Linked DNA regions of Alligator mississippiensis. The protein of the gene in region 1 purifies or fractionates together with the protein of each later gene. This does not show direct contact. Links are inferred from orthologs where the notes say so. Each region holds a gene or a part of one and is shown in the gene's direction. Other genes may lie near its edges. The genes, in order: SCAP, SREBF1, SREBF2 and INSIG1.

Evidence for each region.
Region 2: the proteins of SCAP (region 1) and SREBF1 purify together in Homo sapiens (affinity purification with western blotting; 4 studies listed by BioGRID and IntAct, with this or other methods). This does not show direct contact. The link is inferred for Alligator mississippiensis from reciprocal best matches to the Homo sapiens genes SCAP and SREBF1.
Region 3: the proteins of SCAP (region 1) and SREBF2 purify together in Homo sapiens (affinity purification with western blotting; 3 studies listed by BioGRID and IntAct, with this or other methods). This does not show direct contact. The link is inferred for Alligator mississippiensis from reciprocal best matches to the Homo sapiens genes SCAP and SREBF2.
Region 4: the proteins of SCAP (region 1) and INSIG1 purify together in Homo sapiens (affinity purification with western blotting; 11 studies listed by BioGRID and IntAct, with this or other methods). This does not show direct contact. The link is inferred for Alligator mississippiensis from reciprocal best matches to the Homo sapiens genes SCAP and INSIG1.

The regions. Positions count from the first base shown.
Region 1 is NC_081828.1:217,459,120-217,466,891, reverse strand, and holds the start of SCAP (sterol regulatory element-binding protein cleavage-activating protein), read left to right. Parts: upstream 1-4,770; 5' UTR 4,771-4,870; intron 4,871-4,902; exon of another isoform or gene 4,903-5,004; intron 5,005-7,482; exon of another isoform or gene 7,483-7,693; intron 7,694-7,772. UniProt on the Homo sapiens protein: Escort protein required for cholesterol as well as lipid homeostasis.
Region 2 is NC_081836.1:54,797,752-54,804,983, reverse strand, and holds the start of SREBF1 (sterol regulatory element-binding protein 1), read left to right. Parts: upstream 1-4,213; 5' UTR 4,214-4,408; coding exon 4,409-4,502; intron 4,503-6,190; exon of another isoform or gene 6,191-6,244; coding exon of another isoform or gene 6,245-6,263; intron 6,264-6,341; exon of another isoform or gene 6,342-6,542; intron 6,543-7,232.
Region 3 is NC_081827.1:96,982,109-96,989,059, reverse strand, and holds the start of SREBF2 (sterol regulatory element-binding protein 2), read left to right. Parts: upstream 1-3,943; 5' UTR 3,944-4,067; coding exon 4,068-4,149; intron 4,150-6,951.
Region 4 is NC_081828.1:204,484,329-204,491,601, reverse strand, and holds the start of INSIG1 (insulin-induced gene 1 protein), read left to right. Parts: upstream 1-4,273; 5' UTR 4,274-4,379; coding exon 4,380-4,629; intron 4,630-7,273. UniProt on the Homo sapiens protein: Oxysterol-binding protein that mediates feedback control of cholesterol synthesis by controlling both endoplasmic reticulum to Golgi transport of SCAP and degradation of HMGCR.

The DNA.
Region 1 (7,772 bases):
CTTTTTTTACTGACGTGTTTTTACTGACAGATGTCTTGCATAATCCTTCTGCCAGGCCCGGGACAAGGGCCGGGCTCATATTTAGGGGTTAACACCCACCATAATAAAAATTGTTTGCAGATCATTAGTAAAAAAAAATGTCTTGGGTTGGTGACCCTGCTTGACTGCAGCAATGTTTTTACACCCATCCCAAGGTCCCCTATTCACCTCTCACACACTGACACCCTTGACCACACTCCCATCTCACCCCACAGCCTTACCCCGACCGGCCCTGCACCACCTGTCCTAGCACAGACCTCTATCTGCCGCCTTTCCCTTCTCCCAACCCTACAGCTCCATGCTGGCTAAGCAGCTATTAGAGGCAGGCATAAGGGGTGGGGGAATGCAGTGGCAGCACATGGATGGGGAGTAGAGAAGGGGGGAACCACAAAGCCCTGGAAAGTGCTCTCTGCAGGGTGCCATGCTCCCACTCCGATGCTAGGTGGCACTGCTCTGCTCTGTCTGTCCATCAAGCTCACTGATTCTCTGTTTTTTAGAGACAGTTCCCATTATTTTTGTGCATCAAGGGTTTGTTTTTCCCCCTACTGCTTATGGGTTGTCTGTATATTTATGGACAGTTGGCAACCCTGCTCCACATCCAGTCTGCCACCTCACCTAGCTTGCAAGACTGCCTTCTAGGAAAACCTCAGCAGGGAGGAGAATGCCTGTTTGACGTGCATGCGGGCGAAGCGGATCATTTTAGGGATGCCCACACAGAGGTCTGGGAGAGTAATTTGACACCCCCTGCTGAGGGACCTTGTCCACCCTGCAGAAACAGGGAGGCAGCCACAAAAGCGAGGCAAGGGTGTCAGCAAGTTTTAAATACATGAGACATGGTTTAGGGCCAATCATGTCACTAACTTCCCAGGTCAGTTTAAAGCTACCATGTAGAGGGGGGCTGAAGGCATGAGGAGGTCATGACTGTAATTCTTCATATATTGTAGAAGCTTGGCTGCTTGTCCAATTCATAGATTTCATAGACATTAGGGCTGGATGGAACCTCGTAAGATTGAATCCAGCCCCCTCGTCAGATTGAATCCAGCCTGACCAATGGGCAGGAAGTCAGTTAGGAAGTCCGTGATCTCAGAGTACCCAAATCTATCTAAAGTGCTGTTTGCAAAGCAGAACAGTGGGAGAAGAAATTTGAGGCTTGAAGGGGAACGTCTACATCCTGGCAGCAATGTGTCCTTCCTGGAATGGTTCTGGATACCCCCCACCAATCCAGCAATGGTGTTTGGCCTGGGAAAATGTGCAGCAAGGGCCATAGTCCCAGGACCAGACATGGCAACACTGTGCTCCAACTGGGACCTGACAGAGACCACCCCCGCGGGGTATTTAAAACACAGTATTGACAAACTTATAGGAAAACCCCATCCTCTACCTGGGAAAAGTCCCGGTGCAACGAATGTAAACAGGCCACAGCAAGGTTGGGGCTGGGCATCACGTAATGCAGCTGACGCTCCAGTGAAGGGGTTGAAAAACGTGCCCCAAAAGCAGCACTGTGGAGAGAGATGTCATCAGAGCAGGGGTCAGACCTTTTCTAGTCTCTTTGCTGCTGCTGCTGCTTTGTTCTCTGCTCTTTCCCCTGCTCTGTCCCTCCCCACCCCCCCCCAGTGCCACCGCCCCCTGGTTACCTATTCTCAGGTGTCCACTGGACATGGGAATACCTTTTTTATTCCCTGCATGGCTTGTGTAGGGTTTCAGATGCCAGGGTTTTGCTTCTCCCCCACCTGTGGCAGCTGACACCTCTGTGAGATGTTCTGACGTGCTGCTGGCTCAGCTCTGACCCTGCTCTGTCCTCAGGCTGTGAAGAAGCTGAATCTGTGGGCATAGGAAAAGTGCATCTTGCATCTCTCCCTCTGGCATTGTGACAGGTTGCTGGGCAGCTCCATGGTGGGTGCTGTCCCGAACTGAGTCCTGGCAAGTCACAGCAAGCCAGTCACCATGACATGGTTGCTTTCATCCTGTTTCTGCTACAGCAGACATGGCCTACAACAAGCGGCTGCTTGCAGGTGCCGAGTGTGGGCTTGACACACGGAAACATTTCAATTAATTCCCTATTATCACAGCCTGGCTGGAAGCCACAATGGTAACCTCATCCCTTGGCAGGACTGCCCCAGCCTTGGAGGAAAGGTCAGCCTGTGCTTCAGCACAATCTGCCCCGCTTCCACAAATGCCTGGACCTGGGGGAGTAATTCACATACCCAGAGCTAACCTTGGGCACCTGGCTCTCGTAGGCCACACAAGGAGGTTGTTACAGTCATGAATGGAAGTTAATGCCCTGCAGCAATTGATGTGGACAACGTGGTTTTGCAGTGTCCTGCCCTTGCTCAGACTCCCGGGTGCAGCTGCTGCATGTGGGGAACACCTGCAATGTCCCTTGGAGCTGCCCCATGAGGGTTCATCTGGGACATAGGCAGCTGGGCCACTAGGAGCAACCTGGGGGTCAACCAGGTGGGAGCATTCATTACCCAAGTGCCAGGTTGGGGTCTGGGTTGGAAGGTTGGAGAAAGCAGGGACCAAGGTCCAGGAGAGCGAAAAAGGGAGATCCAATAGGCACAGTGCGACGTGAGCTGAGATCCAAAACCAGGGGTCAGAGAGCCAGTACCAAGTTCCAGGGCAGATTCAGGGTCAGGGCCAGGGAAAGCTGAAGCCAAGTCAGGAGCCAGGAGAATCAGATAGCAGCGTCCATGAGGCTTGCAAAACAGACCTGGGGCTGCAGGTGTGCTTGAAAGGGGTGAGTGGTGCCTTCAGCTGCCATTCAGTTGCAGAGAACTGGGGTGGTCGGATTAACCAGGGATCAGGGGCAGGCGAGAAACTCGGGTGCTTGGCCTAGCTGGGCATGCCTGATCAGAGACCCTAACAGACCCTAGCTTCCTCTACCATCAGGGGGAGCAAATGGCTTTGTGCAGCACCTAGCACGACGGGAGTCTGGTGTGCAGGGAGGGTGTCTAGGTGCCAGAGCGAAGCTAGCAGGTATGTGACGTCTGTGTGTGCATTCAGATGATGCCGGTTGCAACAGCGTGTAGCGTTCTTGTCTGTCCCTGCTGCTCCTTGCCTGTCTCTGCTTCTCCCAGCACTTGTTCAGCCTTGCCAGTGTGCCCAGGACTATGTCACCTGCAGGGCCCCTGGCTGCTGTGTCCCTGGAGGCCAGCCTGAGCTATCTTCAACAGCTCAAGTCTAGGCAGTGATAGCACAGGCCTGGCCTCTGACAAAGGAGGGGGTTCCTACGTATTGCACTGACCACACAGTCCCGCAAGCATGGCATGGAGCATGGGCGGTCCAGCAAGTCTGGCTTAGGGCAGCTGATGCCTCTGTGAGATGATCTGCTGTGCTGTTGGCTCAGCTCCCACCCTGCTCTGTCATTGGGCTGCAAAGGCACCGAAACTGCAAGTCTAGGAAGGGCCAGTCTTGCTGCCACCCTGGCTTTAAAAGCACCTCTCCCTCTCCGGCATCGTGACAGCTCGTCGGGCAGCTCCATGTCCTCTCCAGCGGCTGCCGAAGCCCAGCAGCGGGAGCCCAGTTGCCTTGGTGCTGCGCTGCAGGGGTTGATCCAGCCAGCAAAGGTTTGCCTAGAAGCACCATCCCACTGGAGGTCACTGAGAGGAAGCTTCCAAATTGCGTAAATATTGTTAATGTTTCTCCCCCTCCACGCCGATCCTGGCTTTTCTGCAGGAGGTCCAAGTGCTTCCACGAATGGTCAAAGGTACCTGAACCTGTCAGCGAGGGCTCGCTCCCTCCAAGCACCCCGGGACGATTCGTTCACCAGTTGCTTGTCTGGCTTTCACGATCATCCTGGTCCTAGCGGTTGAGTATTATGCTCCTCACCACGGGCACGTCAGCAACGATCCTCAGAGAGACGTGGGCATCTGACCACCCTTTACCCTCATCTGTGAGAGCAGGATGGGTTTTTACAAGGGATTTTTAGCTTATTTTATAAGGAACGGTTTGATGAAACGGCTGCCAGCGCACACGTGGCGATGCCATAATCGTTTCCAGCGTGCCCTTGCTTTACCGACCCCGTCTGGGTGGCCGGATTAACCATCCAGAGGATCGTCCCCCCCACCCCGGAGCTCCCCCTCAGGCACCGCGCAGAAATAACGTCGCGCAGATCGTGGACCGGGACAACGAGGGCTGAAGGGACCTCGGGAGGTCACGTCTCATAGACGTTAGCCTCAACGCACCCGGGCTTGTCCTCAAAACCTCCAAGGATGGAGACTCCTCTGCTGCTCCGGGGAGCCGGTTCCAGTGTATCACCGCCCTCCTCGTGAGAGTTTTTCCTAATATCCAACCTCAACGTCCCTTGCTGCAGCTTGAGCCCATTGCTCCTTGTCCTGTCATCTGCCCCCACTGAGAACAGCCCAGCTCCATCCTCTGTGCAACCCCCTGCAGGGAGCTGAAGGCTGCTATTCAATCCTCCTCAGTCTTCCCTTCTGCAGTCTAAATCAGCCCATTTCCCTCAGCCTCACCTCACCAGTCCTGTCCCCCAGCCCCACCACCATTTTTGTTATCCTCCACTGGACTCTCCAATGTGTCCACATCCTTTCTGTAGTGGGGGGGGGGGGGTCACAGCTGGACACAGCACTCCAGATGTGCCCCCACTCCCCACCCCATATTGCTCCACGCCGTCCCACCCCCGCCGCCATGTTGCCTCGCTCTGGCTGGCGGGCGGGCGGGCGGGGGCGTGGCCACGCGCTGGATGGGCGGGGCCATGCGTGGGCGCGGCGTGACGTCACGGGGTGAGAGGGCAGAGGGCGCAGGGAGCTGCAGCCGCAGCCGGCCGGGAGCCGGAGCGAGGCTGAGCGCGCCAGGAAGGTGGCGCGGCCGGAAGGTGCGGACCCTACTTCCGGCCCCGGGGGGCGGGACCCCCGACCCATTCTCCTCAGGCGGGGCGCCGTTAGCAGCGCGGGTCGTGTCGTGGCCTCCGCGGTGGTGTTGCCCCCCTCCCTCCCCCCCGGTGCCATGGTTAGTAGCGGGGGCGGGGCGGGTGTCATCCCTGCCGTTGGTGCCGGCACTGACTGACTTTACATCAGTTTTACGACTGGTCCCGTTATTGGTGGCACAATGAATACCTTACCTGTATCATTGGTATTGCCGCGTCTTGGGATCATCGCTGTTTATTGGTATCGTTACTTATTAGTAACCATTGCTGTTGTTCCTGATTACTCGGTCAATAAGTATCGTTACTTATTGGTATCGCAATCGATACCTTACTGGCATCGTTGATACCGTTATTTATTGGTGTCCCGAGTGCGATTGGTCCCATTGTTGGTGTCACGTTTAATATCTTACTAGTATCATTGATATATTGCTGTGTATTGTTATTGTTCCTTATTAGTCAGTAAGTATAATAAGGTTTCTCTGGTATACTCTGGTTTCTCTTCAGATCGCATAAATCTTTCACCTTTTTACTAAAGATTTTCGTGGAAGTATAGTAAGGTATCCTTGCTTGGGGGAGTAACGGTAGTTATTGGTATCATAATCAGTATCATACTAGTATCGTTCATACCGTTATTGATTGGTATCGTTACTTATTAATATTGTCACTTGGTATCGCAAGTAATATCTCACTAGCAGGGATCCTGGCTTTCTATGACTTAAAAAAAACAAACAAACACCCCCATTTTTGGTTTAAAACAAAAAGAAAAGTAACCCCAACTCCACGTTGTTCTGTGACTTTAAACGAAACGCCGTCAATATATAGATATACATGTACCTCTGCAGTACATACAGATGCTTGTATATTATATATGTATATCTGTATATTGGCAGCGTTTCATTTAAAGTCACAGAACAACGTGGAGTTGGGGTTACTTTTTTTTAACCAAAAATAGAAAAACAAATCCCCAATCAGAGAAAATAAGCAGATCCCTGCTTATTAGTTGTATTGGTATTGTTGTGGGGTATTAGTACCCATTGATTGGGGGGGGGATATTGGTATCCATTGATGCTGGGGGGGGGGGTCGGTGTTAGTGTCCATTCATGCCTGGCCAGGGGGGGCGGTTAGTGCCCATTGATGCCTGGGGGGAGGCAGGGGTTAATGCCCATTGATGCCTGGGGGGTGGGATATTGGTATCCATTAATGCTGGGGGGGGGGTGGGTATTAGTGCCCATGGCTGCCTTGGGGTGGTGGTGAGGGTGGTGTTAGTACCCATTGATGCCAGGGGTGGGTGGGTATTAGTGCCCATTGTTGCCTGGGGGTGGTGGTATTTGTACCCACTGATGCCCGGGGGAGGCAGGGTGGTATTAGTGCCCTTTGTTTCCTGGTGGGGGAAGGTATTAGTGCCCATTGATGGCGGGGGGGGAGGGGGTATTAATGTTGTTATTTTATTAGTATCAATAGCCTCATTACTTTGTTTGTCATTAGTATCTTTATCTGATGATGGGTATCACTATGATTATTACTGTTATCATCATGCTAATTACCTGACCCTGCTCGTCAGTCAAGCAGAAGCCACTTGGCCCCGGCAGTTTGGGGAGGGGGATTTGTTGCCTCCTTTTTCCAGTTAGGAGATGGCTGGGCCTAGCCAGGGAGGTGGAGAAGTCACTGCCAAGGAGAGGTCTGTGTTAGTCTGGGAGCCGTGTAGGTTTGCACCTTGCAGACCGACAGAAACGAGCTGTATAGCCTGAGCTGTGAGTAGAGGGCTGGTTTCCTCTGATCCAGGTGTGACGGGGCCCCGTGTAGGCGTGTTGGGCCGAGCTTGTCTTGCTCGGGCTCCGGTCGAGCAGGCTGGTGCACCTGAGGGGCTTGTTTTAGATGCTTGGTTGTGGGCTGGGAATCAGGCTCTGCTAGGCAAGAACTGCTCCCTCAGGCATGGTGCGTGCTGCGTCCCAAGCGGCCTTGCCTGGTGAAAGGGTTAAATAGTAACTAAGGAGGGTGGCAGCATTAAACAGCCTGGGGAAAGGGAAGGGAGGACCATTCAGCTAACCTTACCTACCCTGCAGAGACCGAAGCTGCTTAAGACCTGCAGAAGACGGGGATCTCTGTCCCTCCTGTAGCTGGACACTGAGACTATTGGAGGCAAGTGCTAGATGTGGGAAGAGAAGTAGAGAGGGCTGGTTGCTTGTTCACCTCTGTAGAAGAGCCCAAAACATTCAGCTGGGAGAAACTTCTTGTTTGAGGCTTGTGGAAGCATAGGGTGGCCTGAGGGGCTGTAGGGGAGCCATTGCCTGCAGAAGAAGGGAATAAAAATAGGGAACAGAGCATCTGATCATCCCACGGATGAAGGCAGGGGGTAGTGACTGGTGTAGTGTTATGACTCTGAGCTGTTGCTCCTTTTGCAAAAGGAGAGCAGGGGGCAGAGCGTGGGTGCAGAAGACACGGGGAATAAATAGGCACTAAGAGGACGTGTGAGAAGGAGGGGAAGTCCTGTGGATGCTGCTGTGGGCTGATGGACCTGGTGGACCATGTATTTTTTTTTTTTTTTTCATGCTGGTTAGCAGTCTAATCCATGGGGTTGTGAATCCAGCAAACGTTCCAGCTCTGAAAGAGCAGGTGGCGGCTTCTGAAATCAGTGGGGAGGGAGCTGGACTTCTCTGTCCGTTACAAGGGGGAGAAGTTGTGCATTTGGGACTTGGAGCATGGAGAGAAGGAGCTGTTGTGTCCAATGCCTTTTGCCAAAAATCTCTGGATGCAGCTTCCAGTTTTCTGACGGTTCGTAAAATACAAACAAGCTCCTCTTTTGTACCTTGCTTTTGTTTGTCCTGGGATCCCAGTGCTTGAAATTAGTGTA
Region 2 (7,232 bases), on another chromosome or scaffold:
TCAGGAGTCGTGTCCTGTTGCTGGGTCCCTGGTTATTACTGCCCCGGCTTTCTCCACAGTGTCACACATGACCGCACCTTCCCGGGAAACAGTGCAGTTCCCCTGCTGGCTCCAGCCCCACCGTGCCCGCGATTCCAGCGGACGTCCCTTGCCTGCGGCGAGTGCGTTGCTGCAAGTGCTAGAAGCTCTGTGGGTTTCTTGGCAGGCCTCTTCTTTTCCAAGCCTGGGAACCTGTAAACAGCCACATCAGGTGATTCTAAGCATACTAATCCAGCCGCCTCACCAAGTCCTCCGATTAATAGCGCCGCTAGAGAACGGACACTGCCAAGCAGGGCTCACCCGGGTACAGAGCTCGAGGGAGTCGAGACAGGGAGGGCATTGCTGCAGGGCTTGGAGCTGAGCTGGGACGACCTGGTGTTGCTGATGGAGTCCTCCCTCTGCCTAACTTGTCTGCATCTGCCCTCCCCTAAAGGGAAAGGAGAGGGCACCCCTCTCTCCTCTGCCCCCTGCTTCCCAACCCCTTGATTCCTGATTGTTCCCATGGGCGAGATCCCAGAGGGCTGCCATGTGATGGACTGGAGCCCCTGCTAGGGAGGGTGGAGCAGCTGGGCCTCAATGGGGAAGTGCTGGGTGCCGCTGGGAGTCAGGGCACTTTCTTATCTGTGCTTCCAGCCTCAGGCCCTCCGGGTTGCCTGCTGTGGCCCTGCGTATCGATGAGTTGGAGGTCATGCTATTTTTTGCCTGGGAGCAGGTGTCCCCTCATTAACGGGGTGGGAAGGCAGGGCAGTAACTCACGCTCTGGTCGGCCCTTTGCTAGATCCAGCGCTTCCAGGACCGTGTCTCCTATGACACCAGAGGAGCAGCACTTTTGGGCACGGGCTATTCAAAGCAGGGCAGACGTGGGGCCGAAAGCCATGGGACATGACCGAGTGGGCTGCACTTGCTGGAGGATGACACCAGTCGGTGGGAACACCGAGTGCCCGGAGGATCTGTTGGTGGACGAACCGTTGCTACAGGTTCCCAGTATCCTGTATCAGGATCAGCCCGTCTTCCCTGTGCTGCTCATCATGGTTTGCAGGAGTGTGAGCAGTTCAATCCTCCCAGTCTCCCTTTACTTGGGAAAAGCCTGGATTATCCCTCTTGTCTGGAGAAAACTGCTCCCCACCTGGACTCCTCCGTCCCTGGCCTTGCCAATGCTTCCCCTGCGTGAGCAGGACAGAAGCGACGTGGCGTGGAGACTCCCAGGCCAGGAGGAGCGGAGCTGAGCTGCTGCTTGAACTGCTTCCGTCCAGGCGCGGCCTAGCAAGGCTGAGAGCTTGCTCAAAGATTTTGCCTCCGCTGCCACACGCTCCACGACAGTCGTAGTCGGGACCCTCTGCGAGCTCCAACAACACCTTATCCTAGGTTAGACTATTTATTTTGTCGATACGTGTTTTTTTTCTTTCGGAGACATGTTTAACCTCCTCTGTTAACCCCTCATGCTCTGAGATGTACAAAGTGAATTGTTTCTATTTAAATAGCTATTTGGGGGGGCAGGGGGGCGTTATGTTCTGCTTTGATTGTCGTGTGTAGGTTCCACGTGCACCTTTGGCAGGCGCGGGGTAGGTGACAGCGTGCCGTATGGACTCGTAGGGCCTCTGGTCTGTCCGTGAAGCTCATAAAAACATAGCGCGGCGTCTTGGAGGGAAAGGCACGTGTCTGCAGGGTGGTCACAGCCAGACCCCTGGTAGCTTCCAGCATCCCTTTCTCCTTCCAACTCGAAGAAGCCCCTTCCCCAGGCTCCACAGCGGTGCAGTTCTGGCACCCACATTTCCAGGGTGTTTCTGCGCTTCTAGGGAGAGGAAGGGGTAAAGCCGTCAGCCTCCCTGTAAGCACAGGGCTTTGGCTGGGCACAGGTGGTGGCGAGACTCAGTTTCCTCCAATAGCCGAGGACCGGTGCTGGGCTGAGCATGCTGGTGTCAAGAAGGGAGCATGCTGCCCAGAGGCGCTAGGTATTAATCGGAGCAGGGCACGTTCCGTCTCACCCAGCCAAGGTCCTTGTACCTGCTTGCTCCTCTGTAGCGCTGCTGTCTGCAGCAATCGGAACGGGATGTGTGGCGTTGGAGGCGGGGAGGGCAGCAAGCCTGTCCAAGCAGAGCCCGTCCAACTGCCCGCCTTGGCCCCGGGCTGTTGTGGAGCCTCTGTGGTTGTCGGGAGGTCCCGGAGGTGGGGTGACAACGGTTCCCGCCTGGCCCGGTTGGCTCTGCCTGCGTTTACCTCCAAAATGCCACAAGGCAAACGCAGCTTGGTGGGGTGCGGCAGATGGTTCTGTTTGGAAATAACCTCCTGGGCTGCCCCTGGCATCCTGTGGGCATCTCCCTGCTGCCCTGGACTGGCCCAGAGCGAGCGTGGCAGCAGGCGTCCCCACCGACCCGCGGCCACTAGCGCTCAGGTGCCACTTCTGTCCACTTAACCCTTTCAAACGAACACCGGCGGGACCAGGCTGCACCTGTGCCCGCTGCCCACGGCTTCCCGAACCCCCCGGGCTGGTGCTCTTCCACGCGGCGCTTGAAGACCTCCCTGCCTCAGCCAGGCACCGGCAGCAGCTGCTCCCCTCTCCCGCTGGGATAACCGAGCCCACACTCGACTGACAGCTGGCTTTGGTCCCAGCCTGTCTCGTTCCCCCCCCAGCTCTCCCTCCTGCTGTCTCTTCTTCCTTGGTGGCAAACATATGCCAAACCAACCGCCCCGCTCTGTGTTTTTATGAGTGCGAGCTCCTCCTCATTCCCTACATGTTCCTACGAGCTACTGTTTAACACTACAGACATAACCCGTGTACTAGCTTCTCCTGTATATTAAAGCTGTAGGCTTTCCGGATAAAAACAAAGTGGAATAATATTTATTTACTGAAGATATTGGATATTTTTTTGTTTGGGGCGGGGGAGGGGAAAGGGACTTAACCATTTAAAAAGACTGACAATGTAAAAAAAAAAAAAAAAAAAAAGACACTAACCGTCATTGCTGTCTTCACGTAGAAACCAGTGTATGTCAGGATGCTCCACATGTATTAATCCATCTCTGAACTTGTTCCAGAAATCATCTCTCTAGTTTGGTTCTTGCATGTGAAATACTCCAATAAAGCACTACTCGTGTGAGCTGTTCGAGCCACCCCCGTCTCGGGTCCTGCTTTCCGGGTTTAAGCGCTGCGAAGATCTAGCTCCGTCCGCGCCCGCCCGCGGTCAGCGGCCGGGTCACCAGCGCGTTCCCAGCGCCCCCCTCGCCCGACGCTGGCGGCACAAAGCCGGCTTCGCGCCTGTGCCCTTGGCCCCAAACCGGCCACAGCGCAGGAGCTTTGTCGGCAGGGCGGGGTGTGGCGCCACTGCCCGCCTGCTCCCCACACCCGCTCCGTGCCTGGCACAAGGCTGGAGCGCGAGCAGGTGCCAGCGGTGGCGGCGGCCGGGACCCCCGTGCCCCTCGCGCCCAACGCACACGCTCATGTCCTAGCGCCCCCGCGTGCTCCTCGGATGGGAACGAGGGACTGGTTCGGTGCCACGAGGTCGGTGCCACCTGGGTCCTTGCGGGCGCTTTTGGCGGCAGGGCGCCACTGAGGCGGTTCCCGCCAGGCAGGACAGGCCATCTCCCAGGTGCAGCCCTGGTCCCCTTCTGCCCCTTCAGAGATGCACAACAGGACGGGGTTTCACGCGGGCACCCAGGAGGCAACCAAAACAGGGGTCGTGACCCCAGGGGGGCTCCTGGCCCTCACACGCAGGGGAGCTGGGCGTCGAGACCTCGGCCTGCAGGACCCCGGCGCGCGGGGGTGCCTTTCCCGCCGCCCCCCACGCCAGCGCTGGGGCCGGGCCACGTGCTCGAAGCGGCACGTGGCGCCCTCTGCAGGGGAGCCCCGCCCCCTGGGCCGTCCCACGTGGCCCGCGCATGATGTAATCGCCGTGACGCGACATCACTCCACTCCGGCCACGCGCGCCCATTGGCCGCCGCCGCCTCCCATCAATACCGTGGGCGGGGCTCCCTGCGCGCATGCGCCGCCGGGCCCCGCCCCCGGCCGCGGCTCATTGGCCGTCCGCCGGCGCGGCCCCCGCCAATGGGGGCCCGCCCCTGCTTAACCACTTCCCCGCCGCTCGCGCCACCCACGTGCTGGCGACCCACGTGCGGGGCTGACGTCGCTGCCGTGACGTCAGCGCCCGGGAGCCGCTCCGCGCGTGGGGGGGTCGCGGGGCTGGTCCGCGTGGGGCCACCCCGCCCGCCCCGCCCCCGGCTCCCGTCACCGGGGGCGCGGCCAGCGCCAGCCCCGCCCGCCCAGCAACAGCGGCGGCCCCGGCGGAGCGGGACGGGACTGGACGTGCAGGAGGCGGCGGCGGCGGGAGCCGGAGCGGGATCGGGATCGGGATCGGGATCGGGGCCGGGCGGGAGGATGAGCGGGTTCGGGCTGGAGGCGGCGGCGCTGGAGGCGCTGGGGCTGCACGAGCCGAGCGACATCGACGCGGCGCTGCTCAGCGACATCGACGGTGAGTCCCGGCCCCGGCCCGATCCCCCCCGCCCCACGCGTGTGCGCGGCGCTGCCGTGGGCCCGGGCCCCGCCCCGCCCCGCCCCGCCCCGCCTGACGTCAGCGGGGTTACTGCCGGTCGTGCCCCGCCGGACCCTGCGCACACGTGTTAGTGCAGGGGCACACACACACACCTAAACATACCTGTGCACATGGGCACGGGCACGCCCGTGTACAGCCAGGGACGTGGGGTGCAGGGCTGTAAACACGGGCACACCCACGCACGCATACACGCAGGTGGGTGCAGGGGCAGGTAGATGTGGCACACGTCTGCACACCGGCACGGGCGTGCCTATGTACATGTGCACGCAGCTGTAGGCTTGCGGGCACACCTGCATATGCACGCGGGCACACAAGTGTGGGCTCACGCTGACGGATGTGCGGGCACGCACACGGGCACACACACGTGTGCGCGGCTCCCCGAGGGCGGTCACGCCCCTCCCGCGTAGGGCAGCCCGAGCGAGGCTGGCGGCGTTGCCGTCCGGCCCCGCGTGGTCCGTTTCCCCTGCCGCTGCCCCCGCGCCGGGTGGGTGGTGGTCCCGAGCCCCCGGCCCGCCCAGCGTGGGCACCCGTCACTAGCTGACCCCCGCAGCCCACGGGGAGCAGCGGGCAGGCCGGTCCTGGTGCCGCGGGGCCGTCGCCAGCAGCGGGGCTCGGAGCACCCGCGGGTGCGGGGGCCAGGCTGCCCCGAGGCGCCAGGGAGCGACGGCTCTCCGGCTGCGGGGCCGAGCGGATGACCCCCCCCCACAAATCATCGCCGCCAGCGTTGTGGGCACCAGTGGGTCCACGTTTCCCGCCCGGGCAGGAGCTTGGCCCCGTGCCCAGCAGTGCCAACGGCATCAGGGCTGCTTCGGGCGCTCCCGGTTCTTTACGAGGCGAGACGGAGGTTTTATAGCGGTGCCTGCCCGGGCCTGTGCCCGCGGGTGCTGTTAGGAGCTGGTGTGGGCGAGCGAGCTGCAGCGCGTGGCCCGGGGGCCGTGGCACTGGCCACCCTGGGCATCTCGGCTGGCTGGCACGCCAGGCCGAGCCCGAGGAGCGCGTGGCCGGGGGTGGGAGAGGGAAGCGGGAGAGGAGCTGTGGGGGGCCTGGACTGTGGTGGATGCTGCTGCCCCTGGGGTCCGTGGGCCCAGCCCCGGGACTGCGGGCAGGGCCGGGCGCACGGTGCTTGAAGGCCGAGGGGCCGGGCATTGGCGCTGGGCAGCACGGGGGGCTCCACGCACAGTGGGCGGCGGGCGCTGCCCCAGAGGCTTCGCCGCCGTGGCCACGTGCCCTGGCACAGAGGGCCACGAGGCTTGGGTGCCAGGGTGCCAGGGGCAGGGGTGGGTGCTGGAGCTGGCCCCCTGCTCTGACTCATCCGGTGCAGCCAGGAGTGGGGATGAGGCCCTCAGCCCAGCCCTGCGCCTCCGGGCCCCGTCTCTCCCTGCCCGGCCCGGCGCCCGAAGGGTTAACGCAGGAATGCCCGCGAGTAACCCCGCCGGCAGCGCAGGGGTTAAGGCGGCTTGCCCTGGAGTAACCCTGCGCCATTCAGGTCGCGAGGCCGGGCCGGCGCGCGCTGATTGGCCGAGCGCGATCACCTCATGCCCGGGCCCTGATTCACAATTCCAGCCGCGCGCCCGTCCCCGGGGGGTGGGGGGCGGGAAGAGCCCGGCCCTTAAAGGCGCCGCGCGCCCGCTCCCCGCACGGGGCCGGGCGCGGCTGCAGGGATGGAGTGCACCTTCGAAGGTACCCGGCGAGGTCGGCCCTGCTGCCAGGCTGCAATGGCGAGGGGGGTTGCACGCTGTCCCCTGGGCAGTGCAGCCTGCTGGGGCGTCCTGGCAGCGGTGCCCGCTGGCACTCGTGCCCTGCCCTGCTCCTGTGCCTGCCCCAGCTGCTCGGCCGTGGGTGCTGCAGGCCTGCCCCAATTTGCAGCAAGGTGCCTGGGCGGCACGTGGGCACATGCAGAAAGGCTCCCCTCCATCCGCCCGGCGTGGCGTGGGGGACTGGCCCGGGCCGCGAGGGCAGGTGGGCGTCAGGACTGCGACCTCCGGGGTTTTGGGTGCTTCCCAGCCAGGCCCACGCTGCAGGGCGCCAGCCCCAACCCTGATCCCTGCCCTCCACGCCCCGGCTGCGTGCCACGGGGGGACCCGGGCAGTGCGAGGGGCGCTCGTGGCAGCAGGAGTGCAAAGCGGGCTGGTGTGCGCCTGGGCTCTTGCTGGGTGCCGGGCTGCCAGGGCTCAGGCAGGGGGACGCCGTGGGAGAGTGAAATGGGGGCCACGTCCCCGCTTGACTCTGTGGCCCTGGGCATGTTCTCCAGCCTCCCTGTGTTGCAACCCCCGCCTGCCCCGCCGGGAGAGGATCGTGGTTCTGCCCTTCCCTCTGCCTCGGCAAGGGCTGTTCAGACTGCAGGTCCCCCCCCAGGCTGCCCCTGCCATCCCCTTGCTGCTGTGACGGGCAATGGCCCTCTCCCCTTGAGGGCTAGCAGAGGCGTTACTCTGCTCCCCCCCAGAGCTAGCCGCTTTCTGAGCCCAGCTCACTTGTTTTCTTGCCGTGCAGAACAAACGTCTCTGGAAACTGCTCTGCAGGCCTGGGGGTGACAGCCCCCCAGCCCAGCCCTGCAGCCAGGAGGCTGGGCCGCAGGATCGGGCTCCTCCACCCGGGGACAACAGTGTGGAGGCTGGACCCCTCCCTGGGTCTGCCCCTGTCCTGGGGTCT
Region 3 (6,951 bases), on another chromosome or scaffold:
CACAGAAATCTTGGGGGGCACATGCCCCCAAGCCCCCATGTCACTTGTGCCCCTCCCACCCCCCACGCATCACCTGTGCCCACACATGCCCTTTCCCACACTGGGGGGCTGGGAGAGGGGGGCTGTAGTTTAGGAGTGAGGGACACAAGCAGGTCCAAGGGGGTATGGGTTGGGAGTGAGAGGCACTGGCAAGGCCAGGATGCTGTGGGTTGGGAGTGAGGAGAATCAGCAGGGCTGGGAGAACTGTGGCTTGGGAGTGAAGAGCAACAGGATGGGTGGGAGGAAGTCACCGACATATTGGGGCTGCTCGGCACCACAAAGCAGCATGGGGGAACAGCCACAGCTGGACCCGTGTCCTGATAAGCAAAGTGGGTAGGGGGAGCTTTGATTTTTCTATTATTTTCTATGATAAAAAAATATCAAACGCCAAAGTATATAGGTATTTAGAATTTATTTTATTATGACGATTGAGGTACTAGTAGGCTTCTAAATTGCTTTAAAATTGCAAATATATCAATAAAACATTGTGTTCAACTTTATTTTATATATATATATATATATATATAAAAATAATAAAATAATAATAAAAAATAATTATATATATAAATAAAATATAGTGGTGTTTCATTTTAATCATGGGAAAATGCAGATTTTGGGGGTTTTAATCAGAAAATTTGGAATTTTTTATCAGAGACTTTGGATTTTTTAAACAGAGAAAACCAGGATCCCTGCACATTACAAATGAAGCTATGGCCTCTGAAAACTGTCAGATCTAACATTACTTGTCACAAAAGTAAAGGTTCTAGCCCCAGTGTTATGGCCAAATTTGTATTGGGTAGTTACAGTCTTTACTTCAGGTCTTCAACCGTTGTGTATAATTGCTGTCAAATGTCTTCTCCACCTCACTTTTGAGACATCTGTATTTCAGAATAGTTAACGTTTTATTCATATAGAGCTATAGGTTAATGCCACACTTCACTCATGGAGCAGTGTTTTCTTCCCTGCAGCACTATAATACTATGTTAAGCACAAAAGACAGGGGAACGATTGAGGGCTGGGACAGGTTGCGGATTAGTCATCAGAGGAGGAAAGATGGCTGTCAGAAGTGATGTGAAGAAGAATTGCGTGGCAGGTGAGGACAGGGAGATGGGCTGAAGAAAGGGCTGGTCGAGTGGGTGGGAAGGGAGGAGGAAGAAGGAGAAGAGAAGGGACTGGGTAGAGTGTAGAGCATTTGAGGACAGTGAAGGGAAAGCAACAGCAGAGGTGTAGGTGGGGGATTATGTAAAGGCTTGCAAATGAATGAGAGCTTGAATCTGGTGTGGAGGCAGGAAGCCAATACAACAATTTGGAGAGGTGACTACAGTATAGGGAGAGAGGCTGAAGGTTGTGATAATAAAGGCAATATCAAACAAAGGTTTTGGTAGTGGGGCTTGAAAGGAAATAATGGATTTTGTGACATTAAAAAGGAAGAAGAAACAAAGACGTGGGAAGAGAAGACAGAGGAGAAAAGATCAGAGCACCAAGACTGTATATTGCTGGACTCCCTACCAAAAGAGCCTCAGAAAAGAAAGTGGTTAGAGAAGAAGAACGATTAATTAGGGGAAAAGACACATGGCAGAAGGGAACAAAAGTTGCCTGGCCAGCTAAATAGGAGAGCTAGAAGGGTGGAGCAGTTTGCCATACAAAGGCTGCACTGAGGTAAGAGAGGAAGGCCAGGGGTCCCTAACTATCCAGAGAACATGTACATTTGGCAAACTGTATGGCTTGAAATGACACGACAGGATTATATTTGAAATGCAGCCTGGCCAGGGGAGCTGCAGGTTGCTGGTTAAACCATAACTAGAGAGATGGTTTTGTTAACTTTTCCCAAGTGTAACTCCACAGCAGTACGGCCAGTTTGGACATTTTCAAATTGTGAGTCGGGCCCTCCCCAAATCAGGGAGACTGGCTTTAAAATCACAAGAATTGGAAATTGCCCAATAGTTTGTGTTCTGTATGGTGTGTGTTTATGTTTGCCATTGAGTCTTTGAACCTTTAGGAACACTCGGGGCACTTTGTAAAGGTATTTTTCTACAACCACGGAGGGCAAGAAATAAGGTGCAAGTAACACATCATTTATTGTGAAACTTGCAATGAAATCAAGAAATCCTCAAACTCTAGTCCCTGCATGTCAAAAAGGATATAGAGGAACTAGAGAAGGTACAGAGAAAGGCAACAAGGATGATTAGTGGAATGGAGGCTCTTCCATAGGAGGAGAGATTAAAGAGGCCAGGCCTATTCAGATTAGAAGAGAGATGCATGAGGCGGAACATAAATGTTTACAAAATACTAAATGGTGAACAGAAAGTAAACAGGGATTTGTTATTTACTCTCTCCCAGAATACAAGAAGTAGGGATCACAAAATGAAACCAGGAGGCAATCAGTTTAAAACTAACAAAAGGAAGTTCTTTTTCACGCAGGGTGTTGTGAGAGTATGGAACTCCTTGCCTGCCTGATGGTTTAGCCAGGTTCAAAAAGGGATGGGATGCATTCTTAGAGGAAAGGGGCATCAGTTGCTATTGAGCACAGAAGTGAGGGGCACGGCCTCTGAATCAGACGTTGTCCCTTCATGGGCTTGATTGGGCAGGTGGACCCAGTTCAGCCCCTGGGGCATGCGTGGCAGGTCCCCATCCGGTTGTGCGGAGGGGAATGGGAGAGCAGCCTGGCTCCCAGCCAGCTGTGTAGGGAAAGTGGGGGGGGGGGGGGATGGCCTGTTTCCAAACTGGTGGAGCAGGTGAAAGGGGTGTGGCAAACAGCTTGGGGGGGCAGGGGGCATGGCCCAACCTTGAACCAGCCATTAAAGGGGAGAGGGCATGGCTTGCCCCATGGAAGGAAGCAGGCATAGCCCAGCTCCAACCTGGCTGGGCAGATGGAAGGAGGCATGGCCCAGCACCATGTGGGGAGAACAGCAGGTCAAGGCTCTGAGCCCTCGCAAGGGCCTTGGCCTTTTGACAGCAGGGAGGGCGGCAGCCTGACCTGCCCCTGTGCCCCTGCTCCAACTTTCCTGCCCTGCAGGGACCCGGGCAACCTGCTTTCCAAGGCTCTGTGTGCTGCATTTGGCCCACAGGCCAGAGGCTGAGCACCCTGGGCCTAGAGTCTAGACCCTGAATGCTGGAGGCTGTGAGTGAGAGGAGCAGTGCGGAAAACCCTGGCAGCACCCAGTTCCCTCCTCCTTTGTGCACCCCCTCCCTGCCGTGTGACACTGGCCCCGGGGCCCAAGGGGCAGAGCCTGGAAACGGTCATTCTTGTGTTCTTGGGGCTGCAGGGGGCTGCTCCCTCTGGGCTCTGCCTGCACCGGCAAGCCCTGGGGCACCTAATGCCTGCTCAGGCCTTGGTGTTTCCAGGGCCCAGGGGCCCGAAGGCCCCTTTGCTGCGCTCAGCTGAGCTGCAGGGCCTGGCCCCACCGGCAGGGAGTGCTTGTGTCCTGTGCCCGGAGGTGGGAATTGTGGGAAGGCCCTGGAGGACTGGCAGCGTGCAGGGCTCAGCCAGGCTCCTGGCACCTCGCTCTAGCCCTGCCAGCACCTGAGCTCTCCTGGTGCTGCCACTGCACTGCACTGCCCTGCCCTGCCCTGCCCTGCCCTGCCCTGCCCTGCCCCGCCCCGCCCCGCCCCGCCCCGCCCTGCAGCCCCCCCTCCTGCGTTCTGCCCCTTTAAATTCTCCTTCGCGCTGGTGAATAATTAGCAAGGCGGCCCCGCCCCCTCATGAATATTCCACATGGAGAGGAGGAGAGAAAAGGAGGTGGAGGGGCGGGGCTATGTATGCAAATCAAAGCTGCTGATCGCCGACGCGCCATCACACCACGAGCCGGCGCGGCCGCTGGTTGGTCGGAGGGGCCCTGGTCTCATTGACAACGCGCCGCGGGAGCGCTGCCGCGTTGGTGGGGGTAGGGGTAGGGGCTGCCCGGCGGGGGGGCGGGGCCGGCCCAAGATGGCGGCGGAGCCTGCGGGAGCTCGGAGCAGGGACTGAGCGGCGGGACGGTTGATGCCCGGGGTGAGCGGTCGGGGCGGGCCCGCGCGCGGTGGCGGCCATGGAGAGTGGCGAGCTGGGCATGGAGACCATGGAGACCCTCACGGAGCTGGGCGACGAGCTCACCCTGGGCGACATCGACGGTGAGCGCGGGGGTCACGCGTGGGGCGCGGGCTGCGCGCGGTTATGCGTGGGGCGGCGGCACGCGTGGGGGGCACGTGCCCGCAGCCTGGCCCTGGGGCGCGCGTGGGGCCGCCCTGGGTGAGGGCCCGCGCGTGGGGGGCCGCCCTGTCGCGGGTTCGGTGCGGTGGGCCTGGTGGGCACAGGGTGTCTTCGTGTGCCCCCAGGCTTGGCCTTCGCACACAGGTGGGGTTGGCTGGGCCAGACCCTTCTCCTGCCTCGCGTGGGCTGGGTGGAGGGTACTGGGTGGGCGCAGGGTGTCGGGGCCCTACTGCCTTCCTCTGCCTGGGGCTTGGCTGTCCCATGCAGGTGGGGTTTGCTGGGCGAGACTCACCTGCGTGGGCACCATGGGGCTTCCTGCTAGGCAGAAGTCACCCCCGGGGCTCTGCCACTCCTGGCCCACATCCGCCAGGCAGGGTTGCGTGTCTACGCTGTGCCTGCCATGGGTGTGCTTCTCGCACAGACTGTTGCATCCCAGAAGCCTTTATTTCTGTTGGCATCCCCGATTGAAAGGTGTGTGCTGCCTTCCTGTGTCCCCGGCTGCTGTGCAAGGGAGTGCCCCTGAGAGCAGGATCTCCATCAGCTTCCACCATGCTTTTTTTCTTTTTCTTTCTTGCTTTTTGAGAGTTTGCCATATGGATGTTTCTGGCTAACAGCGGATGCTCGCAAGGGATGGGGCAGTCGTCAACAACTCTCTGGTTTCATCATAGCCATTGCTTTCTTGGGGGGCCCTTTTGTGGGATTGACACTGGGAATAAGTGCAGTGTGAATGTGTGTGTGTAGGGTACGGGAATAGTAGTGTCCTTTCAGACATCTGGGTTTGGGGCACCTGCTTTTGTCCTGGCAGCAGTAAACACTGTGCTGCTTATTCTCATTGCCCAGATTCCTACTTCTTTCCTACTAATAACTTGAAGTGTCACGGCCTATAAATAGCTGGTTTTAGCATCAAAGAAATTGGAAAGGATGCAGGCAAGTTAAGTTGCATCTTCCCCTTAGTTCTAGCCTGTCTGAAGTCAGCAGTAAGTTGCTTGAAATGTACTCCCTCGTGCCTTTCCAAGCCCCTGTATAAATGACTCAGACATCTGGGCTTTCACTGATTTCTATGAGCAGGTATTCCATAGAATCCTAAATATGCCTTACCAAAAGGAGACGTTTCCCAGATGCTTTATTCCCCCCCCCCCCCCCCCCCCCCTTTGCTCAGTTTCTTTCTGTTGTTCCCTGGTAGTGAACACCTGATCTGGACTGAATATAAATGCTGGCCTGCAGAAGAAACAGGAGACTTGCTAACATGGCCTGCTGTTGTACAAGTGCCTCTTCTGGCTTTGCTCAACAGTTGATTGTGCAGTGCACGAAGGGAGGAGCACATGTGTTTTACAGCATCCTCCCTGGTGGATCAATACAACATTGAGTCACACATTGGAGTTAAGAGTTGCTGCTAACTTGTAATGTTGCCTTAGGAAATTCTTTTGCTATTTTACAATCTGCAAAATGGGGCTAGGTGATGTTATAGCTTATTATACAAAAGGGTGCTGAAGCTTAATATTAGTAGGTTATGTTGGTGCTGCTCATTGAATATGTAAAGCATTATAGGTGGCGGTCTTTTCAGAGAATAAACAATAGGTGCTCTTTCTGTCACCTGGTGTGTAACAGCCATTTGATGTTGGTAGACCGAACCAAGAGGCAGATTTTCTGATCAGTTATTGGTCAGCAGTGTTACTAGTTGATGCAGCCAGTTTGGTATAGTTCAGAGCAACTCATCCTCGACAGAGGGAAAGGAAGCATGGGAGCATTTTGTTTGGCTCAGCCCTAAGTTACATTTTTAGATGGGGTGAAGCAAGAGCAAGGTCCGGGGCCACCCGAGGCTCCACGGCGCTGCGGTATCGTTACGTTTAGGGGGGATTCTGATTTAGAGGCATTCAGTCATAATCCCACAGATGGTAGCTTCGCCCCATTGGCTCCTCAGCCAAGCACATACACCAAATGTCTGAACCTGGTGTTTTGCAGTCCAGCATGCAAGATCCTGGTGTTTTGCAGTCCAACACGAGCTTGTCAAATAACTTTGATTTTTTTTTTTTTTAAATCTTCCTTATCTCACTGCCAGGGCAGCAGCAGCAGCAGCCCTGCCACACACTCTGCTCTTTCAGGCTAGAGTATTCTCTGCAGTCCATTCTTTACAAATGCGTGCATTTGTACAGTAGTTTACAGTAGCTTGTCAGTCTGAAACATACATGGCAAGGTAAATGATTGTGACTGTGCAGTGTCCAGGCCCTAGTGCCCAGGTGCTGAATACTCTAGGAAGTTAGTACTTTGCGAGTTCAGGTTGCAGAGTAGGACCTGGAATGAGGCCAGGGAGTGTTGTGTGAGAGCACTGATCAGTCCTACTAACTGTATAAAATGTAGGTCTGTCCATACAAAATGTCCACATGCAGCTTACTGCAGTGCTACACAGTTTAAAAAGAAAAACATTATGTTGGCTGTAAAAACGTTGCAAAAAGATGCATTTGAGATCCAGATTGTACAAGACATATCAAAAATATTTTTCCTATCCTGGAAAAGTGAATCTGGCACAGAACACATACATTTAGAGTACTTTTTTCCACCTGAATCAACCCTTTCAACTGCTTATGTCTGTTCCTTTCCCTGGTATTTCAACTCAATTTTTTCATGGCGACATTAAAAGGAAAAAAATGAGTGTACACATATTTTTTCAGCTGTCTCCTGGGGATGAAGTTAGTGTTGTCTGTTGCCCAGCATTCATCATTGTA
Region 4 (7,273 bases), about 13 Mb from region 1:
CAACTTGCTACCAAAATAAAATGCTGAAGCTTATTCTATGTCTTAGCTCGCTCATACTTATCTACAGGAAATAGAGAGGGAGAGAAAAAGTCAGAAATGGTCGGGGAAGGGGAGAGAATGCATTTTAAAATAAAACAAAAACAAAAAACTGGGGGTTTTGCTACAGCTGTACAGGTGTAAAAAGGTTCAGTGAAGCAGTAAGAAAAGAATGATATATTTTTTCACACCATGGAAACAATCTTGAGGGCCCTTCTTGAGACTAGCCCAAAACCCTTCCCACTCAACATATAAAAAAAATATTAAATTTCTGGTACCATTGCAACAAATGCCACATCACAAAGAAACATAGGATCAATCCAAATACAAGCATAATCCATTTCTGCACATCATTACACTCTACGCTCAGCAATTCTAAACTCTTGATCAACCTGGCCCAACAATCCTGCTTAAACTAAATGGTACCCAAGATGCTATACCAGGACCCAGAATATTGTCCTCTAAGTCTCTGGGAAGAAGAAATATAAAACAGGAACAAGTTAAACGGCTACAGATCCCTGCACAGAACTCTTGTATTACTAGACCACCTCCTCACAACTACAGGAGGCTCTGGCTAAGTAACATACAGTGAAGTGCACTGCTGGTGGAAATCACAAGACATAACACAATCTAAACAGAGACAGAACTGCAGCCAATTGAACAGAAACAGAAGAGAGCTTGAGAGAGGGAGGCATTTTTTACTCCACCATCCAAAATATGAGGAAGTGTAAGGAAAATACTTACTCAAAATATCAGGAACATGTGAGACTTTTCTTCAGAAAGCAATGAGGAAAAAACCTGCACCCTGATCCTAAGAGAAAAGAGAGAGACAGCAAGAGGTGACATCTTGCTACATGGTAAAATGCCAGGAATAGACAGTACTAGGAAATAGACATGGGAAAGTCCCTCCCCACATCCCTCAAGAACATGTAGTCCTATCCTGGATTAACCTTGTTTTCTTTGACCATATCAAAAAAGCCAAAACCTTTCTTTGGCATCCCTTGAAACTTAACATGTCAATAAAGTATCCTTGATTTGAACTTTGCCCATGCTATTACAGCTATGTTTAGTGGTGTCATGAAGACTTTTTCACTGGTTCAATGTATGGTAACAGCGCTGTTGCATAAACAAGATATATGTTAGGAAAAACAGAAGCTGGATCTACTTGGATACTGCTGATATTTTTGTCCCCAACCCCCAAAATATTCCACCAAGAAAGTCTGGTTCATCCTAAGGCAGACAAAAAATCTGGACCCTCAATCATCTTGTATCATGGTTTTCAGCACTAGAAAAATCAAGCCCAGTAGCTACATCCTGCTATATGGAACCAACTTTTGGCTCTGAACACCCAAATTTAAAGGTCTGGTCTGGTTATAAAAAAAGTTTAGCTGCTTATACAGCACCAACTGATAATAGTTTCCAGAGCACGATGAAAATTGGTCCATAACCATTGCAAAAACCTGGATGCAACACTCTATCCAGCTGGAGATGAACAGAGAGCTTGGCAGTTCACCCAGTTCACCCAAACTGCTAAACTTGACAGCCTCATTGCAAAACAAATGCAGTTGCTTCTATTTCACTGGAAAAATCCAGACCATAATGTATGTTAGCTAACTAGTACTGGAAGAGCATGTACCTGGAGCCAAGCAGTGTTTAATTACTAATAATTCCTAAATGTGTCTCTGTTAACTAGGGAAAAAAATGCACCAGCTCCTAGTGAGCCAAAAAAGCCTATCAAAACCTGTTGCAAATAGATGGAGTGACGTGAATTCTCCTTCATCAAGCCCTCCTTTTTTTTTTACCCTGAATTCTAGAAGCTACACAAAGAAGAGCAAGTATTGTATTCTCACCATAAAGTCCATGCCACGATGCACCTTGTAGCACCATAAATATGTGTCCAGCACTTAGAGCTTGCCAAATTGTACTCTAAAATTAGACAGCACATAAATGAGACCAAATACACCTGCTCCTAGTCCATTATAAAAATCTGGTCCCCTGAAATGTCCAGGTGAAAAAGATCCAGATATGGACCTGGAACCAGCAGGATCCCGTTCAGTTTTTCGACCTGTGTCCCCAAAGTTTTGCTTTCTAGAACAAGCATTGTCTTCCTTTTCACTAAATCTGCAGTTGGGTATCCCCTGAATGAGAAGCACATTCTTGATATTTTTAGAGAAGTAGCTGGCCATGTTACGCTGATGTTAAGTGGAGGGCAGGGTAGATTTGCACCTTACAGACTAACCAAAGCAGCTTTTATTTTATTTATTTTTATATATATATATATATATATAAATATATGAGTACACTGTTGGGTTAGCCACTGTTCTGAGTAGCCCCATGTTTGATAGAAATCAGTAGATCAGTTGTTCTCAGCCTTTAATGGATACAGGGTTCCCTTGCTTTATACGGGTTCTGTATGTGTGCATTCGCTCTTATGTGATGACTCTTTTTTATACCAAAAATTTGTTATGTGCGAGGTAAATTCACCCTTATGTGATCGGTGTGTTGGAAGCCCAGTCAGCTGCTTTGTGCGGTGACACGCACCAAAATATAGTTTCCCGCGTGGATCTGCGCTCCTCGCCTGTTGTCTGCGACACGTGTTTCTTAGCTGCCATCCCCATTAAGGTAGCGCCCTATGCTTGTGTGTACTGCGTGCTGTAGGTGAGTCCAAAATTGTCTTGGAAAAGTGGTAGAAATGGGTCTGGTGGTCAGTACAGTCGAGGTCTTGGAACGTATCCCTATTTGTTGCATTGTAAAGTGGGCTCCCTTTACGTGAATTCGAGTAATGCACCGTGTTCCAGAAACACATGTACAGCATAAAGTGAGGGAAACCTGTATATATATGTGCGTAACATAGCTCAAGCTTTCATGAGCTGATGAACATACCTGAAGAGCGTTCATGCCTGAAAGCTTGCGCAAAGAACAACTTTTCCAACTATTTAGTTGGCCTAATAAAAGCTCTCCCATTTACCCATGTCCATGAGGGGCCAGCAGGGGAGATTATGCTTAGGGGCAACCAACATGGATGGGTTCATTAGAGGCAGGTCCTGTCAGACCAACCTGGCGGCTTTCTATGACCAGGTCACAAAATCCTTAGACGCAGGGGTAGCAGTGGACATGGTCTTTCTGGGCTTTAGGAAGGCCTTCGACACTGTCTTTCACCCCATTGTCATTAAAAAACTAGGGGACTGTGGCATTGACACCTACACAGTCAAATGGGTCACTAACTGGCTGGAGGGCCGCACCCAGAGAGTGGCGGTGGACGGGTCTTATTCCACCTGGAGGGATGCGGGCAGTGGGGTCCCCCAGGGCTCGGTCCTCGGGCCTGCGCTGTTCAACATCTTCATCAGCAACTTGGACGAGGGGGTGAAAAGCACCCTGTTCAAATTCTCAGATGACACTAATATGCAGGGAGAAGTGGGCATGCTAGAAGGGAGGAATAGGCTGCAATCAGACCTAGACAGGTTACAGGGGTGGGCGGATGAGAACAGGATGGGTTTCAACACTGACAAGTGCAAGGTGCTGCACCTGGGGGGGGACAACCACTGGTCAGGCCGCAGCTGGAGTCCTGCGTCCAGTTCTGGGCACCGCACGTCAGGAGGGATGTGGACAACATGAAAGGGTCCAGAGGAGGCCACCCGCACGGTCAGGGGCAGCAGGGCAGGCCCTACGAGGAGAGGCTACGGGACGGGAACCTGTTCAGCCTTCACAAGAGAAGGCTGAGGGGGATCTAGTGGCCGTTTACAAACTAGTCAGGGGGACCCGCAGGCACTGGGGGAGTCCCTGTTCCCCCCAGCACTACCGGCAGTGACTAGAAATAACGGTCCCAAGCTGGGGTCTATACATTACAGCAGTCGGCACCCCCGCTTGTGCTATACACATGGGTGGAGAGAGAGAGAGAGAGAGAGAGAGAGAGAGAGAGAGTGTGTGTGTGTGCGCGTGCACATACCGCTGTAGGGGTACGTAGGCGCACGCGCACTCGGGCAGCGCCCAGGGGCAGCTCGGGGCGGGGGCGGGGAGCGCAGGGCCCCGCCCCCTCAGCCCCGGCGCCAGGCGCCTTCCCCGGGCGGGCGGGCGGCGGGCAGGAGGCGGGTGGTGTGTGCCTACGTCATATGGGCCGCGCGCCTCCCATTGGCCGGGCGGCCTCACCAGACTGCGGCCGCAGCCGGGGCCGCCGCCAGCTCCCGCCGCGCGCCGCCCCGCCCCCGCGCCCCGCCCGCGGGGTTGTGGGGGGGGGCTGCGGGGGGCGGGGCGGGGCGCGCGGGGCCGGCGGCGGCGGCGGCGGCGGTGGTTATAAGCGTCCCCGGGCGGCTCGGCGCAGGTCGAGTGGTGGCGGCGGCGGCCCGATGCCCAGGCTGGAGGGGCGCGCCCGCGGGAGCGGCACGGCGGGGGCGATGGTGGAGGCGGAGGCGCGGCCGCGCTGGAGCCCGCATCTGGTGCAGCGCAGCCTGGTGCTGTTCGCGGTGGGCGCCTTCATGGCGCTGGTGCTGAACCTGCTGCAGGTGCAGCGCAACGTGACGCTGTTCCCCGAGGAGGTCATGGCCACGCTCTTCTCCTCCGCCTGGTGGGTGCCCCCGTGCTGCGGCACCGCCGCAGGTGAGTCCCGGGCACGTGGGCGCGGGCCGGGCCGGCGCTCGCCCCGCACGTGTGTCCGTCCTCGCAGCCGCTCGTGCCGCTCGCGTGGCCGTGGCCGTGGCCCGGCGGGCATTGATTTTGCGGGTCGCCGTTCACTGCTTCGGGGAGCGGGGCCTCGCTGCTGCACCGCCTGGACCTGGCTCCGTGGCAGCGGGGGCGGCTGCAGCTGTTGGCCCCGGGCCCTCTTCTCCCAGCCCCAGGGAGGAGGATGCTGTTGCTGCCTGTGCGCTGGGCAGCCACGTGTCTGACAGGAGCTGGAGGTTCTTGGACCCCCGCATCCATGGCTGGTGTGTGGACCAGGCCCCCCGCCTCCCCCACCTCGCCGATGCGACCTGGGCAGCACCACAGGTCCAAACCCAGCCTGTGACCGGGCTTCCTTCCTAGGAGAGGGCCGGCAGACCCTGACCCTGTGCGCTACCTGCTTGTCTCATGGCATCTTTCAAAGGATTTTGTGGTGCCTGGCCCTGGCCCTAGGCAAACCTAAATAGTCCCACCCCGAAGAGCGGGGGAGCGGCTCTTTCTAGCTAGAGTAGGTTGTGTGAAAGTGCTGTAGCTGTGATGGTCCAGAAACGAGGCGAGGCAAGAATTTCCTAGGGTGGTATGTCTTCATTGAACTGGCTGTTGCACTGCAGACACTTGGTTAATTTAACCCTGTTCTAGCTACGTGGCAGGGTCAAGAAGAGATCACCCAGAAATCCTTGCCGCTCGGCTAGCTATGGCTATGGCGAGCTAACCTGTGAAGGGCTTTCTTAACTTGTTGCCTGATGCATGGGGTAGGGGAGCAGTGGAGAGGCCTCCCTCCTCCAGCTGTTGTCGGGTAGGGTTCAGCTGTTTGGATCTGGCGCAGTGGAGGCAGGTTTGTCTTTGCTCCTTGCTGCACGATTGGCTCCCTCCAGAACTGGTGAGTTGCAAGGCGCTGCCTCTATTGGCTGCCTGCGCGAACATGCCACAGACAGAGAATCGAAAACAAGGAAGTCACATGTCGGAAGAGGGTGGGACGAGCTTGTCTGGCTGCCTGCCCCGCACGGGGTCCACCTGGAGCCCTGCAACCCCCAGCAGCCACAGCCGCAGTAACTGCAAGAATCCTCGGTTTCTGGTAACACTATAGCACAATTGGGACAAAACACCCCATGAAAAGAAAAGAAGAGTTCTCTGCTGTATAATTGGAACAAAAATGGGTAGCCAGCTTCAGTGTTGGAGCCAATAAACTAAGCCCTGCTTCTATCTAATGTAACACAAATGAGATTGAGGAAGGGATGGGGGTGTTAAAGATGTTGGCTCAAATTTAAAAGCAAAACTAATAGAAACACTCTTGGGGGCAGAGAAGGGTGGCTTTTTGTGTGGATATATTGGTTGGTCTTGTTTTTGGGGGGGGTTCCTGATGGGGAGAAGCTTTGATGGTAAAAACAGAGTGCCGGCAGTATAAACATGTGTGTGTGACTAATGGTCAGAAAAAGACGCTTGCATGTAGAAGCATGCTTGGTTCTAATGAGCCAAGATCATTTTCAGTTTAATTAATGAAGGTATTATTTGTGATGCCAATAATGGAGTTTTTCTTAAATAATGACTCTTTAATCAGATGCCTTTTTAAACACCCGTGACATTACACATTACATGTGGTTGCTGACATTGTTGAGTTGGAAAAGAAATTCAATTTGGCCTGGCTTATTTTTGTAAGAACTCCATGGAAGTGTAAAGGTTTTTAAAGGAACGCTTCTTTTGGTGCGTCTGAGCACAACATCCTTGATCAGCTTCCTCAGCGGGCGTAGACAAGATTTTTGTAACTGTCTTCTGAAGAGATGTCCGTCAGAATAAATGGAATTCAAACGAGGGCTATAGGATTTGAGTCTTGTCACATACTGACTTCAGGCAAGTTGCTTTACAAAACACTGTGTAGTCTGTAAAGCTCCTAGAGTTTGTGGTATGTTAAGCCTTCAAACACTAATTGCGCCAGCCTAATAAATTAGTCTTTATAAACTATAGACATCTGTATTTCTGACTCTAATCTGCTTACCTTCAGTTTGTAACATGGGGGGGGGGGGGTCTTTTTGCTATATAGAGATCTAGCTCTTAGCTTTTCAAAACTGCATTATTTTGTTTCCAGAGAGAACTAGATGAGTTGCACTTTCATAGTAGGCTAATACAGACAGTATCACAAGTGTTTCCTGTTTAGCCTGACCAGCTCTAATACTTAACCTGTTTATTATTCACATTGAACACAGGTTTTTGTTCAGTGAATGTTTGCCAAAGATGTAGCTATAGTATTCTTAAATCTGAAACCCAAACTTTTAAACTCAAGAGCATGAGTGAAAAGATCACCATATACTGAAGAAATCAAATAGCCCTCTCTTTTGGGTTAAACATGAAGTATTTGGGAGATCTGTGAATATATTGATCAGGAAACGTCAGATTTTTTTTCCCCTTTTTTTTTTAAAAGAAGGATGGACTTACTCAAAACCAAAACTGTATCAAGATGCTAAATGCAGGGGTATAGCTTCAGCAGTCTTCACAAATAAACTCATAGGAGTTACTGAAACTTGATACGCAATACAGACAGATTTTTACTTTATTAGTTTTACAAATATCTAAAATAATTCCACTAAGT